Diceros bicornis minor: one gene and its partner. The protein of the gene in region 2 binds, or shares a complex with, the protein of the main gene of each other region. Links are inferred from orthologs where the notes say so. Each region holds a gene or a part of one and is shown on either strand. Other genes may lie near its edges.

Evidence for each region. Proteins that work in one complex are often made in the same cells at the same time.
Region 1: the proteins of NSUN4 (region 2) and MTERF4 are in contact, whole or in part, in a crystal structure (PDB 4FP9), measured with the Homo sapiens proteins. The link is inferred for Diceros bicornis minor from reciprocal best matches to the Homo sapiens genes NSUN4 and MTERF4. Residues at the interface, in NP_950245.2 of Homo sapiens: Pro61, Ser62, Arg64, Val65, Leu68, Ser69, Glu70, Arg136, Gly137, Asp138, Ile139, Arg141, Asn367, Leu368, Met369; in NP_872307.2 of Homo sapiens: Tyr267, Glu269, Arg270, Leu271, Gly272, Arg273, Glu311, Glu312, Val315, Phe316, Lys318, Leu319, Arg322, Glu323, Glu326.

Annotation. Positions count from the first base shown.
Region 1 is NC_080776.1:27,970,488-27,978,171, reverse strand, and holds the start of MTERF4 (transcription termination factor 4, mitochondrial), read left to right. Parts: upstream 1-4,587; 5' UTR 4,588-4,602; coding exon 4,603-4,911; intron 4,912-6,230; coding exon 6,231-6,729; intron 6,730-7,684. Other genes in the region: PASK (PAS domain-containing serine/threonine-protein kinase), read left to right, coding at 466-612, 1,266-1,375. UniProt on the Homo sapiens protein: Regulator of mitochondrial ribosome biogenesis and translation. Binds to mitochondrial ribosomal RNAs 16S, 12S and 7S and targets NSUN4 RNA methyltransferase to the mitochondrial large ribosomal subunit (39S).
Region 2 is NC_080752.1:9,208,097-9,215,675, forward strand, and holds the start of NSUN4 (5-methylcytosine rRNA methyltransferase NSUN4), read left to right. Parts: upstream 1-4,514; 5' UTR 4,515-4,556; coding exon 4,557-4,649; intron 4,650-7,579. UniProt on the Homo sapiens protein: Mitochondrial RNA cytosine C(5)-methyltransferase that methylates cytosine to 5-methylcytosine (m5C) in various RNAs, such as rRNAs, mRNAs and some long non-coding RNAs (lncRNAs).

The DNA of each region.
Region 1 (7,684 bases), on a different chromosome or scaffold from region 2:
CTCTGTTGAGATGACACCCATGTTGTTAGGAGAAAGGGGAGCCAAGTCCAGACTCAAGTCTGAGGGCTCTTCTCAGAGCTCATGCCTCCTTCCTGTGGGGACTTATCTGGGACTCTGCTGCTGCCGCCTCCCTCCCCTCTCCTCTTATGTGAACCTGTGTCATTCACAGCTCTGCAAAGCCAGAGCCCCCGGAAACAGGCGAGGTTAGGAACCTCTGCACCTTGGTTAAGTGAGCGAGGCGGGATCTTGAACTCTAAGCTTTCATTTCAGAGGCGACAAACATCTCCTGCAGCCCTTCTCAAAGTGCAGCTGGGGGCCCTGTGCACCAGGACCCCTGGGGTGCTAGTTAAAAATGGGGGCTCCACAGCCCCCTCCTGCCCAGTCAGAGGCGTTCATGGCAGGCGGACCCAGGCCTCGCAGTTTTGAGACTGGCTGCACGCCTAGCGTGGGTCTTTATGTCCCCAGATCTCATGAACCTCGTGTCTGGGCTGCTGCAGCCTGTCCCCGAGCAGCGCACCACCTTGGAGAAGCTGGTGGCAGACCCCTGGGTGACGCAGCCCGTGAACCTTGCTAACTACACCTGGGATGAGGTGTATCGAGTAAACAAACCAGGTGAGAGGTGTGGCCTGTGCACTATGGAGGGTGAGGAGGTTCCCCAGGGTGCTTTCCTAGGTCTGTGGAGGAGGAGGGGTTCCAGCTCCCATGCTGTCCTAGACACAAATGTCAGGGCATCACCTGTAAAACAAACAGGCGTTGATTCTGTTCCAGAGGCCCCTGAACAACACTGGGGTTCAGAGCTTGGCTGTGGGCCTTAGAAGGTGAGTGAGTGCCCATGCGAGCCCCTGACAAGGAGGCACCCACAGACGGGTCAGGGGCTGGGGGCCGAGGGTTTGAGAAGCACAGCTCAAGATGGTCTGAGCAAGCTGAAGGGGAGGATAAGGCCACAGGTGGTGAGTTTGATGCTCTAGGGGGACCCAGGGGGACCCTGGCTCTTCAGACAAGGCTCCTGGCTGCACAGCCTGGTGGCAGCAGCACAGTGAGTCTGGTCACCGCTGCTCGGAGCAAGCGGACGGAACTGGTGTTGATGGCTCTGGGCGCAGAATCCCTGCCACACCTCAGTAGGGTCCAGGAACTCTAGAGCATTGCCAGTTGGGTTCTGGAGGGTCCCTCTGGTGTTGTTTGCTCCTAGGAATTCTTCCAGAGAGAAGCAAAGTATTTTAGAATCTTGTGTTCTTAGCATGTGATACAGTGACTTCTTTCTTCAGAAAGCGGAGTTCTGTCCACTGTGAGCCTGGAGACGGAGAGTAGGAGCCCCAATGAAGTGGCTTGGGCCCTGGAGCTGCACAGAGCCTTGTGCCCCCGGGGAGGCCCCTGATGAGGCTGAACACCAGCTTCCTGTTGCTCTTCTGCACTCAGTTAGGAAATTGTATTGTTTTCAGGCCCCTTCCATTCAGAGACAGTAACTTCTTAAGAATTAGGCTGAATTCACCTTCTAAAAACTCATATGCAAGTTTGATAAATGCTAGAACAAAAGCCAGTGAAATGATATTATTTTAGGTTTATAAAATAGACTTGGAATTCATTTTTTTCATGACCTTGAAAAAACATTCTAGTGTTCACTTGAGTTTTGTCCTATTAAAGGGCTTTCAATTTGTGACCTTCTGAAAGGCATAAAAAAGGTTTTTGGTTCTCTTTCCACTTTTGTATACATGCATGTATTTCTGTTTCCTCTGACTGGGTATATGCTCATCTGGGGTGTGGAATTGGTAGAGCTGGTTCGCCAAATGACTAGACTCTTTCATTAATTTATTTCCGTCAACATATGCCAAATTAAAGCAATTTTGTAAACAGTTCCCCTGCCTTGGATGGTATGAATTATCCCACAGTGCCGGTGTGGGAGGCACTTCCATTTGTGTGCCCCACTTGCCACAGCTGGAGAGAGGATCAACCTCGGTCTGTTTGGGGGTCCCACCCACAGGGGGCGCCTGGGGCTCTGCTGCTTGCTTAGTCTAAGGAGACTGGGAGGTTGTGGTGTTCTCAGGCACTTCCTTTCTCCCTGTGCACAGCTCGCCAGGGCCAGCCCACCATCTGTCTGGGCTCTGCTGTGCAGTGGGCTCTGCAGTGGGACTCTGCTGTCCACCCATGACACGCTCCCAGCACCCGCCAGACATCCTGCAGCCAGCCCAGGCCCCACCTCTGGTACTGTGTGGGGGGCGTCCAGCCCCGGGCCCCACCTCTGGTATTGTGTGGGGGGCGTCCAGCCCTGACTGTCACTGTCCTTTTCCCACTCTTGCTCAGGTCCCAGTGCGTCTCTCACACACTCACATGCCTCCTCCCCTGTCAAACAGAATCAGCCAGCTGAAGCACATGAAATCCAGCCTCTATTTTGCTATGTTTGAGGGGAGGGAGTGGTTAAGTGCAAGAGAGAAACCTTTCATTTTTTTTCCCCTGCTGAGACAGCAGGAAGGAAACAAAAACAGAAACCAAGACTCCCCTCACTGCTTTTTTTCCACATCATCACTTTCTGCATGTTCCAAGTCTCCTCCTGCCCAGAGCCCTCTGGAAGATGCTCAGGGGCCAGCCTGCCTCCACTATGGTCCAGTGCTGTTTCTAGTGTTCATTTAGGAAGCACTCAACTGTCTTAATATTTTAGGATGTTCAGATAACGGTTCATTTTATTCTCATCTACTGGGATATGGGATATTGCCATCCTGCCCTTTAGAAAGTGAAGCCCGAGTCTCCCAGTCATCACAAGAGACTGATGGGGGACCCTCCTCCATCAGGCACAGGAAAGACAGGGTTTTTAGAAGTATAGCTTTAAAGCGTGGAGTAAAAAGTTAGTGATGTTTATTCTTCATAATTCAAATAAGTTTCCTGATGTTCTAAGAACTCTGTTTTCAAGAGTGAAAAAAACCTAAACATTTTTCCTTGTAGTGTTTATGATGCTTATAATACATAAGAAATTGCATAATGTTTTTTTTTAGACAGGTGCGCAATGGGCTGAGAATGCAAAGTCCTAGCTCTCCAACAACTGTTACTTCTTCATAAGACAAAATAATTAAAACTCATCTGACCTGATGGTAGTAGAAGGTCTGATACTTGGAGTGTTCTTCCCAGAAAGAGCCCCGATGGAAACATGCTGAGGCCGAGGCTGACAAATTTTCTCCCCGTGTTCCAAGCGTGATTCTAGAGAGCAGAGTTTTCATAGAGGAGTGAAGATGCTGTCGGCTTTTTAGAGTAATCCCTGCCTTCCAGCCGCCGTGTTATTTCTAGAGCTAGATAACCTGTTGGTTTCCTGATTCCTTCCAGGGCATGGGGGTGGCACGCAGGATTTTCTTAGGCTTTGAGTGTAAAAGCATTAACATAATTTATTTTGAGGTGCTGACAGTTGAGTGTTTTAAGAAGAAAATTAGATTAACAAACAAAAACAACCAATTCTTTGGTTTGAAGGGGAGGAAGGCTATCCTCTACCCATGCTGGGTCCTTTCTGGCTGGGGTATGAAGTAAATTGACTCATGAGACTGAACAGCAGGAGAAAATCAAACAAAGCTTTATAACATGTATACATGGGAGAAACCAGGGAAACTTAAATAGCATATTCAGACAGACAAAGGAGGATGTTGGGTGTGGGAAGGGAGACAGCTATGGGAGATGACCAGAAAGCACAGTAACAAGAGTATGCAGATTTAAGAGTTTCTAGAGATAAAGTCATCCCCCCTTCTTCCTGGTACAGAGAGGGAGTTACCTTTACAAGTGTAAATGTTTGGTAAACAGAACTTTGATAAGAATGGGCTTAGGAAGAACCCTCCCAGTCTATCACTTTTAGGTGTAAGTTTGGGGGAAGGTCAAAGTTTCTTTCAGAGAAAATAATCAAGGTAAAGAGACATATTTTGAGGTGGCCAATTTTGATCTCCCACAGGTTCCACACAGATTCAATCTTCCTTTTCTTTGATATAAACCTTTTGTAAAAAAGATATGTTTTAGCACCCAGCCCAGTGCCTCCCACAGAGCAGGTACTCTGTAAATTGTAACCTTGCAAGAATCAAGCCCTTTTTCTCAGTTCAGAAACAAGCAGATAAAACAAGTAGAAATGCTTATAAATTAAGGTTTTGGGCTTACAAGTGGCAGAATTTAGGCAGCTAAAAAAGCACACCTTTTTATTCTTTTTCACACTATCCCCTTTTAAAAGATGCCTAGGCTCTATACTAGAACTATTACAGGTCTCGATTTGAAATTTAAGAATGAATACAAATCAGGCTGAAACATTAGTGGATTCCATCCCAGCAGGAAACCAGACCTCTGAGTCTGCAGGGCCGTCGTTCCTGTCATCTTCTATATGCCTGTCTGTGCGTGTGTGTGTCCTCAGTATTCACGTTGGAGACGGGTTTACACGAAGTCTGGAATAACTTGATCTGGGACCCACTCCATTTTCACTCAGACGGCCTTGTCTCCAACCCAACACGCACCTGCTTCAGGAGGGCTCCTGCTTTCTCGGGGGAAGTCATTGTTGGCGCCACAGGAAACGGCGGGTCTGAACCAAGGTTACGGCTTCATTTCACTTCTGCTCTTCAGAGGAATTTTAATATAGTGGGAAGCAGAAGTATGGCGTTGGAGCTTTTCCTTGGCTATGCTAGCCGAGAGCTCTGGAAAGTGGGAAAGCCGGGCAACGTCGGCACGAGGCAGAGAACCCGTGGCCTCGGGCGGCGCGAGGCCCCAACGCTGGACACGCTCTGCGCGGGCAGCGGCGGAACGCGCTTCCCGCGCTCTCGCGCTTGCGAGGGGGAGGGCGGAAGTGCCGGACCGGGGAGGGCGGAAGTGCCGGACCGGGGAGGGCTCAGCTTCTGGCGTCGGGGTCTTTACCACCGTCTGTGGGCTATGGCGGCGGTCGTCCGGCAGGTGAGGTCGCGCCAGGTACCGGGGGTCCCCGGGGACGTGGACGAGCGGCAGCCGTCGGGGTGTGTGACAGCAGGCCGTGGCACCTCGCAGCCGGAGCCTTCCCGTGAGGCCGGGGCACGCCGGCCTGGGGCCGCCCTGGACCCGCGGCGCTCTCTGCTCCATCAGTGCGCCGTGAGCGCAGCTTCCCGCGCCCCGCGCTGGGCCGGACCTGGGGGTGAATCCGGCGGACGGAGCAGCGGGACCACCCACAGGGCGAGCGGGGGAAGCTGGGGAGCAGCGAGCGCGTGGGCTTGACTGACGGACGGGGGTGCGACGGTACCTAACGCTGGAGGGGCTTTGGGACGGGGTGGGAAGCGAGTGAGTGTCTGGGTGATCTGTGCTTGTTTGGTTACGCGCTTGCCTGAACGGCTGAAGAGTTTTGACGTAAACGGGAATTCTCTATACAAGTTGGCTGACAGGCTAATTATATCCAATAGGATTCTTCTTGTGGAATAAATTTAGGTACGTGAATCTGGAGACTAGTATGAGGTCCAGATGTTTCAGGTGTGGATACCAACCCGGACCCCCAGAGTTGGCGTGAGGATTATTTTAAACTAAAGATGGTTGAGATTCAGCAGATAGAGAAAGAAGCTTTCTCGGAGCTTCCCTTACCTCCCTAAAAACAGAAATTTCTGGGAATGAGGCTGCCATGGACCCCTCTCCTGGGGAGTTTTGTAGCCTTAAAGAAAAAAGACTGCTCGGACCTGCACAAGCAAACATTATCACAGACGTTATCTCTCTTTTTTTCTTTAGAAACCCATTTGTTCTTCCCGTAGAAGCTTTTTCTACCCCTCTGTCTCCCCTATTAAATTAGCCCCTAACTTTAGTGATTTAAGGAGCTACCTCTTTTGTGAGCTGACATATGTATATGAATAAACTTTGTTTTTTCCCCTCATGTTAATCCGTGTATTGTCAGTTAAATTTGCAGGCCCCCCAGGCACTCACCCTTAGAGGGTAGAGGAAAATGTTGTCTCCTCAGGTAGGCAGATTTTACCAGGTGGCCTTAAACTAGTTCTGCCTTGTCCCTGCCTACCTCTGTCCCCTCAATTATAGCAGCAAAAGCTCATGGAGACTTGTTTGACTCTCTGACCTCTATGTTCTTGCAACACTCTTTTCTCTATATGTGAACTTCCTTCTCTGTAGGCTAAGTTCAGATAAGATTTTGCAGATTGCTTATAAAAACTGTTACGTTTGTGTGGGACCAAGGCACTAAATACCCTGGTTCAAAAATCCTGTGGTGTCTATTACATTGGGGTGGTGAGGAAATGATTCCCTTTTGGTCCTGTGTCTTATAGGTCTTTGACCGGCACTGCCTGATCCCCCTCATCTGGGCCCGTGTTGCTAGGCAGACTCCTCATGTTGGAGAACAGAAAACGACGACTGCTGCTTTGTTGCGTAAACTGACCACAGCCTCCAGTGGAGGGGGCCTTGAGGACTTATCCTGTTTTGAACCCGAAAAGTATGTGCAGGAACCAGAGTACAGGACAAATCTTACTCACTGCCTCCTTGAGAAGCAGAGGACTCCTGTGGATCAAGGGTCCTTGGAGCGAGAGAAGGTCATCAGTTCCCTCCTGGACATGGGTTTCAGTGATGTCCATATTAATGAATTGCTCAGTATACAACCAGGTACCCACCCTCAACAGTTGTTGGACATTATTTCAGAATTAATACTCTTGGGTTTGAATCCAGAGCCTGTGTATGTGGCCTTGAAGAAAAGTCCTCAATTATTGAAAGTGCCTGTAATGCACATGAAGAAGCGCTCCAGTTACCTGCGAAAGCTTGGGCTTGAAGAAGGTACAAAAAGGCGCAGGTTTTATACATAGTGCTGAGAGGAGTCAGAGTTGGGGAACGAATAGTATAGGTGAGATGGATTCGGGAAAGTTTCTGGAGAAAAGGCCTTGAGAGGAATGCGTGATTTGGCTTGGAGGTGAGGAAGAGGAGTGACCTCTGCAGAGGGCATTGCAGGAGGGAAGAGGGGAGGGTTGGGACTAGAAGAGAGAATTGGAAGGGACTCCTGTCTAGTGTGTTCACTGTGGGGGCTCTAGCATGTAGAACAGTGGTGGGCACCTAGTGTGTGCTCAACAGATAGATGTCAATATGTGATGTTGATATACGTGTATATTACAAAGTTCCTGGTAAAGGCTTGGATTCCAGGTAGCTTGCCTTGATTTACTGTGGAACATGAGCTCTTCCCAGGTTCCTGGGAAACTGGTGGTGTGGCTGTTCCCTCCAGCCACCACCCTCACCTCCAGTGGGATTCGTACCTCAAGGATCCTGGAAGTTCGTTGGATCTCTTTAAGGGCTTTCTGGAATAGGGGCTGGGGGCCCATGTGGTTCTCCAAGAACTGGTACCCACTTTGACCCGAGGAGTTTTATTATTATTTTTTTCATTCTTGACTCTTACTGGTAAGATTGTTGGGGAGAAGAAAAGGTTTGTGGATCCACTATTTCAGAGGATCTATAGGCCGCCTTCTCCAGCAGATAAGCAAAAAGATAGCCTTGGGTGTTTCTCTTAACAGGTTCCCTGTTGCAGTATAATCTGAGAGGCTAAACTTAATACTTATGTGCATGATTATTAATTAGCAAGCTCAGCACAGCCTTAAGAGGCAGAGATGTAGTCTAAACTCCTGAAATTCATTCCTGACATATTTAGCAAGACAGTGACTAACTCAGCTGTTAGGAAGATTTATATTAATAGTTTAAGTAATTTTAAGTTTCCAGTTACTAAATTTTGTCCAGCTGTCCATAG
Region 2 (7,579 bases):
CTGTACAAATGCTGGAGACCTCCAAATCAAACTGACTGGGAAGAGAAGCAGCTGACATCTGAGGCAGACAGCTTTCCCAAGATGACTGGACCAGGCCTGTATACCCTCTTCCCACCATTGTCTTACTTAATTTCTCCCTCTCTTTCGTAGAATGACAATGCCCTTGTCTACATTTCCCAATCCCTTGCCAAAGGGGGAGACCTCTGATTGCTGGATTTGCCATCTGAAACTTCGATCTGTTCAGGACAATAATGACCCCTTAGTTCACCCTATAGGTAGTTTCACTGGAATTCCAGATGCCATTGTATGTTTAAATTGTTCTGCAGGCCCATTTTATAAAGTCGGGGTACTAAGCCTGCCTAATTTCATTCCTTGCTTTTTTTTCTTTTTTTTAAATTTTTTTTTTAATTTATTTTTTCCCCCAAAGCCCCAGTAGATAGTTGTATGTCATAGTTGCACATCCTTCTAGTTGCTGTATGTGGGACGCGGCCTCAGCATGGCCGGAGAAGTGGTGCGTCGGTGCGCGCCCGGGATCCGAACCCGGGCCGCCAGCAGCGGAGCGCGCGCACTTAACCGCTAAGCCACAGGGCAGGCCCCTCATTCCTTGCTTTAATTTAACCCAGCCTTGGGAGGGAAAGGCAAGATCTTATGAATATTTGTATGATAAATTCTGTAGGATAGCAATTGTAAACCAGATCATTTGTACACTTGTTACACCCATATATTTAGGCAACTTCTTAATATGTAAAAACACAATGTCTAAGCCTAGGTTAAATGGTGGTAATGACTCTACGCCAGTGAATAAGTCCATAGATACTGTTGCTTCTGCAGAAGCCTTATGTACAACCCCTGGTTACATTTTCATATGTGAAGGCTCTGACAATAGCCTTTATGCTTGGGCATCTCATTGCCTTAACAGCTGGAGAGTAGGAGATCAGTGTGCCCTTGCCATATTCACCACCCTGTTCTCCCTGCATAACCAATCAGAAGCCTCTCATTGGTCAGTTCCACTAAATTCCTATAATTACCTCAAATAAGAACTTCCAGGAAGTGTGCATGATTCTGGGTTTGCCTCTGTGGGGAGAGCTTTCTTTCTGTGGGTCAGAATAAGTGCTACTGCACAAATGATCAGGATTCTCTCCCTAACACTAGAAGAGTTGGCTGGTTCCACAGCCAAAGCAGTTGCAACCCAACAATAGTTGCTTAACTCATTGGCCAGGGAGTTTGAGATACCTACTTGCTGAGCAGGGAGGTGTCTGTGCAGTAACAAACACCTCCTGTTGCACATGGATAAATAACTCTGGGGAAATAGAGAGCCAATTACATAGAATTAGAGAGCAAGCACATTGGCTACAACAAATTTCACCCAATAACCCACTGTCTTTTGATTTTATTCAGCCCGTTACAAACTGGGCTTGTTGTATTGTTCTTTTTTTTTTTTTTTTTTTGAGGAAGACCAGCCCTGAGCTAACATCTATTGCCAATCCTCCTCCTTTTTTTCCCTTTGTCTCCCCAAAGCCCCAGTAGATAGTTGTATGTCATAGTTGCACATCCTTCTAGTTGCTGTATGTGGGACGTGGCCTCAGCATGGCCGGACAAGTGGTGCGTCGGTGCGCGCCCAGGATCCGAACCCAGGCTGCCAGTAGCGGAGGGCGCGCACTTAACCGCTAAGCCACGGGGCCGGCCCCTGTTGTATTGTTCTTAATCCTGCTTTGTGTACTTGTTGCTAAATGCTGTACGTATTGCCTGTCGAACCTCTGTAAACATGATGTACCTAATAAGTTGATGTTAGCTCAACAATTTGAAACGGTTTCTGAGGCTTACAACCTCAGACAACTATAGACTTTGAATAAGAGATGCTTGAGAGTTCTCCCTCCTGGCCTTCCTTGTTGCTCAAATGTGGCCTAAATGGTTTCCAACCACTGTGCACGTTCCCTGCACCGTGGGACATGACTACCAGGAAAGGTCCTTCCTGGCACCGAGGGACAAAACCACTATGTGCAGAGAACCTGACTCTTGATTAGCAATGCTTGTGGAAGAAGATCTTGATCAAAATGGGAAAATGTGAAAATTAAATAAAGGGAAACCTCATTTAAAATGGAGTTGGGAGGCCAGAAGGGGGAGCTCCCATGCAGTACCACTTGAGGTCAGTTACGGGAAAGATAGTCAATCATAGACCCCAGCAGAAGTCATCAACAGGAAAGAATCATTAATTACAGGAAAAAAATGTACATCGCATCCCAAAGAGAAATCAACTACCCCAGGAACTCAGCCAATGAGAAACCATCACCACTCTGAACTCTTGCTTTTCTCCAATGGATTTTCCTTCAAAACAACTCCTCCCAATTTCCTTTTTCCCTATAAAATAACGTTCCTCTCCTTTGATTATTGGATTTGCTTATGGTCTCCCATAGCATGCATATTCCCAATTGCAATTTTTTAGCTATTCCTGAATAAACTCGTTTTGCTGGAAAAATAACTGACTTTTATTTTTAAGGTTGACAATTCTTATCTGCATTTAAATGTCTACGAGCTTTATAAAAAGGCCTTTCTCTATACATATATCTCCTTGTTACCTTACAACTGCTAGGTCCCTGTAACAAACTTCTTGAAAAAATTGTTTACACTCACATCTCTACTTTTTCATCTTTCACTCACTCATTCAATAAATATTTATTGAGAGCCAACTATGTACCATATACTGTTCTAGGTGCTGATAATTCAGCAATGAATTAAACAAAATCCTTGCTCTTTTAAATCTTACATTCTTGTGAGGGTAGACATGTCCAGAAAAATTGTCCGGAACTTATAAATGGGCAGAAGAGGATTACTGGGTGCTCTTTCATTGTAGTGCTGGGGTTTACATTTGATTGACTTGATGTTGATTAGGCTATCTTACAACTTTGTAGGGGTAGAGGTTAACTTGTAGAAAACTGAGGGCAATGCAAATAATTCTCGTCTGAGAGCAACGCAAACAACTCCTACGCATAGTAACGCAAATGAATTTTGTCCAGCAAAGATGGAATTGATTTTCATCTGGTAGAAGAGATAATCCCAAACATCACAGTTTATTACTTAATAAAATATTAATGTTTTTGCAACTATTAGCAAATTTATTTTAGCATTCCTTTGGCTGATAATCTAAATCTCTAAAACTCAAATTCTCATTGAACAAGTCTTACCATTTACTGGGTCCCTCATTATCTAGGATAATGGGTGAGTAGTTTATTATGATGAATAAAGTCTTTGGCATGTGTTCATTATATATTTGTATAAGAGTTATGTTTTTAACCTTTTGAAAATTACAATTTAGCAGACTATAAGAAAATAAATACATATCAGGTGGTAATAATTTATAAGAATAAATGTGGGGTAAGAGGACAGCTGTTAATGGTGGTGTAGGGCCCAGTCAATCAATCCTGTAATTCTTTTTTTCTTTTCTCCTCCTGCTTTTTTTAAAAATTATTATTATTATTATTTTGTGAGGAAGATCAGCCCTTAGCTAACATCCATGCCAATTCTCCTCTTTTTTTTAGCTGAAGACCACTGGCCCCGACCTAACATCTATTGCCAATCCCCCTCCTTTTTCTTTTTCCCCCTTTTTCTCCCCAAAGCCCCAGTAGATAGTTGTATGTCATAACTGCACATCCTTCTAGTTGCTGTATGTGGAACACCACCTCAGCATGGCCTGAGAAGCAGTGCATCGGGTGTGCGCCAGGGGTTCCGAACCTGGGCCGCCAGTAGCAGAGCGTGGACACTTAATTGGCTAAGCCACGGGGCCGGCTCGTGTAATTCTCTCTTAACTGTAAGTGGAATCCATCCTCTTCTCTCCATCTTACTGCCACCACACTAATCCAGAACATCATCTTCTCTCATCTGACCTCCCTGCCTGCCTTACCCCTAACTACTCTGATCATCTGCTGTCAGATGTTCATTTTTAAAAACACTTATCTGATCATGTTCCTCCTCTCCACCGGCTCCTTGGTGGATTCAAGTTTTGTGGGGCCTAAAGCTTACTCAAATTCGGGAGGCCTTCTTTAAGAAAAACAATACAAAATTAGGTACAGGCCCTTGAAGGGGGCAGTGCCAATGACAGGTCCTGAAACTTAAGCTTCATTAGCTTCACTATAAATCCGCCTCTGCCTACAAGTCTAGCCTGTTTTTTTCCTCTTAGGATCTTTTCTTCGTGCAACTTCTGCCTAGAAGGCCCTTACCACCCCTTTTTGCCTAGTTAACTCTTTCAGTATTCAAGTGCCAGTTCCCAGTCCTCTCTGACCCCCCCAACTGGGTCAGGGACCTTTACGGAGTCTCTCTCAATGCTCCAAACATCCAGGCGGAGCCACCATTCTGTGCGAATGGTTGCTCTTTCCCAGCGCTCTCAAAGATCGCTGGCGGGGCGAGGTTTGCACCCGGAATGTAAAGATGGGCGGAGCCCCGGGAGAGAGTCAGCGGTAATTCCCTCCCCTTTACGTCCAGAGCGGCGCGCACCACCTCTCCGGAACCCGCGAGCCTCCGGTTGCGGTTCCGGTCGGAATTACCCGGCAACGCACGCAGACATGGCTGCGCTGGTAGTGAGAGGTGTTCGGGACGTGCTGAAGCGGGCCGACTTCGCGACGGTCCCGCGGAGACATCGACATAAGAAGAAATGGGTAAGGCCCAGGAGGGAACAGTGACAGCGGCCCCTTGCCACCGCCTCTCGGGAAACCTCCCCAGCCCTTCCACTGCTCGCCCGGCTCAGTTAGGGTCGCTCCTCTCTCCGGTTGGAACGCCTTCGACCTCTTGTCCCGCCCCTCAGGGAGCGTCACTAGGCTCCTCCCTCACATCTGTTACGTCGTCGCCTCTGTCCGCCCTTTTATTTCGTCACGAGTCTTCGGCTCTCCCTCTTGATAAGTGTGCAGCCTCCTGACTCCGCCCCTCTGTTACGTCATCGCCTCCGCCGTCATTCTTTCAGTTATGTCACCGCCTCTTGTTCCCCTGCTCGCGGTTCCGTTCCGCTTGGCTCCCACTACCTCTTCCCCTTCCCTCCCTCCCCCTCCCCCTCCCCCTCCCTCCCCTTCTTTCCTACCCTGACCTCTTCTCCTCCGCCCCCTATGACCTCCTCTCCTCCCTTCCTCCGAGAACTTCGAGCCCGGCCGCCCTCACCCCTCGGAAAATGTCACAGCGACTTCCCGGTCCTCCCTGGGTCTCCTTCGCCCTCCAGGAAAGGAGTCAACTCCCTCACCCTCGAGCTGCCTCTGGCGCCCAGGAAAGGTTACAGTGACCACCCTGCCGGTAGTCCCGGCCTTTCCCCAAACTCAGGCAAAAGGTGCAGCGACTCCCCTCACCCCCTGGGCTCTCCCCGCTGCTCCAGACACCCTTTCTCTGGCCTCACCTGTAGCCCTGGAATTTCTTCCGTAACCGGCCCGCCCCCCTCTCTACCCCGACCGATTCCCTCCCCGCCCCCACCGCCCCCCTCCCCACCCCCACCGCCGCCCCTGCGTCTGGGGACATGTTCTTTTGAACCTTGTTCTCCACTCCTCGGAAGGCCTTACTGCCCTGAGACTATCCTCTCGGGTTCGTCCCCCCCGAGCCCTTGTTTTGACCGGTTCAGCCTTCTGGGGTCACCCCCTCTCCGTCCCCGGAGCCCTTATTGCGGCTGGATCAGCTCCCCGAGAACACCGTGTCCCTGTCCCCGAAGCCCTTACATCGACCAGCACACTTACCTCTGTTACTGTGGTGGATACCCTTCAGCCCTGGTAACCAGCCCGGTGACCTCCCCTCCCCTTACTCATCGGCCCCTGGGAACCACCCCGGTGACTTCTCCTCCTGTCACTCATGTGCCGTTGGAAACTGGCCCCATGATTTCACCTCCTGTCACTCATCAGCACCCAGGAACCAGCCCCGGGACCTCCCGTCCGGTCACTCATGTCACCTTGGAAACTGGTCCCATAATTTCACCTGTTTTCACTCATGAGCCCCCTAGAACTGGTCCCGTGATTTCCTCTTCCATCACTCATGGATCCCAGGGAACTTGCCCCATGATTTCACCTCCTCTTACTCATAGGCCCTTGGGAACTGGCCTCATGATTTCACCTCCCCTTGCTCACCGGCCCATGGAAACTAGACCTATAGTTTCCCCACCCCTTTCTCACAGGGTTTTGCAAACTGGGCCCATGATCTCCCCTCCACTCTCTCCCTGGTCCTCAGGGAGAAGTTATAATGACCCTCCTCTTTCCCAAGCATCTTCCCCACCCACCGGCAGGTTTTACCATGGCCACCATAAGCCTCCAGACTCTTGTGAACCTAAACCACAGCTTGACCCACCCCGTGGGAAAAATTACTGTGGCTCCCCACTTTCTTCTCAGGCAGGCACATCTGGCTGTCCCAGCTCACCTCCAGAGGGCCCTTATCACTATTCCCATCTTCCCCCAGAGACCTGCATACCTGCCCCTGGGAGCCCTTGTTGTGCCATCCGCCTACCCCCTGGGAGTACTGGTTCTCCTTGCTTACCCCAGTCCCAGGCTTCCAGGAAGCCTTGCTTTGAGTCCTTGTTCTCCTGGGAGACTGGTGGGAGCTCTTACCTCTTCGTAACCCCAGTCGCTATGATTTCTGGTCCCCCTTGTCCCCAGGAACCACCTCTTCCCCTGTCCTCGCCTTGTCCTTATTCTGCCTTCTTTCCTTCACCCCTGAGCAACCAGTTTATATCTCCACCTCAGTCACCCCCCCGCAGAAGCTATAACGACCCTCCTCTGCCTACCCCAGCTTGCCCCCAAGTGAAGTCCCCCAAATCCTCAGAGTTAAGACAGCCACGTGCTCCCCACAGAAGTCGCTCCCTGGTCACCCCTCCCCGGCAAACTCCTCCTGACCAGCCCAGGCCCCCTAAGGCCAGCACCTCTCCTCCACCTCCCTCCGGCCCTTCTGGTCTCTCAGGTGCTTTTTGTACAGTGACATCCGTTACAACTTGCTCAAATTCTTGCCCTAAAGAACTTCCCCAAGGGACTACCTTACCTACTGTGGTCCCTAGAGTCCTCAAAACTGTTATCCCCACTTCCCTTCCCCTCCGCCTTCCTTATGATTCTGTCTCACCCAATAGTTATGCTCAGAGAAGCCCCCATGGACCCCTCATAAGATCCCCCTGCAGTACCCATGTATATTCTGTGGTTCCCTCCACCCCCGATCCCTGCCCACTCTCTGGTTCCCTCAATCAATCCACACGCCCCCCTCAGTGTCATAAGCAACCCATGGTGCCCCCCTGTGGCACCTATAGCACTCCCAGGGGCCCACCCCAACCCCATTGCCAGCCTGTGGCACCTCCTTGTTCTACCCACATCTATTCTTGTATCCCTTTGAGAACACCCTTTGACCCCCAAAGTTTACCTATTGCCCCCCGAGCCCGAGGCCGACCTGATGCTATGCCCTGTGGCCTGCATGTCTACTCTGTGGCTTCTCGAGGCTCCTGCAAAGAGTCCTCCCAGATTCCCTACAGCTGTCCTTTGCCTTCATCCAAGAGTTCCAGCTGTAGTTCAACTATTATTATTAGTGAATACCAGAGTAGTGACAGCCAGAGCAAGAATACCCACCAAAGTGGAAGTCGGAGCCA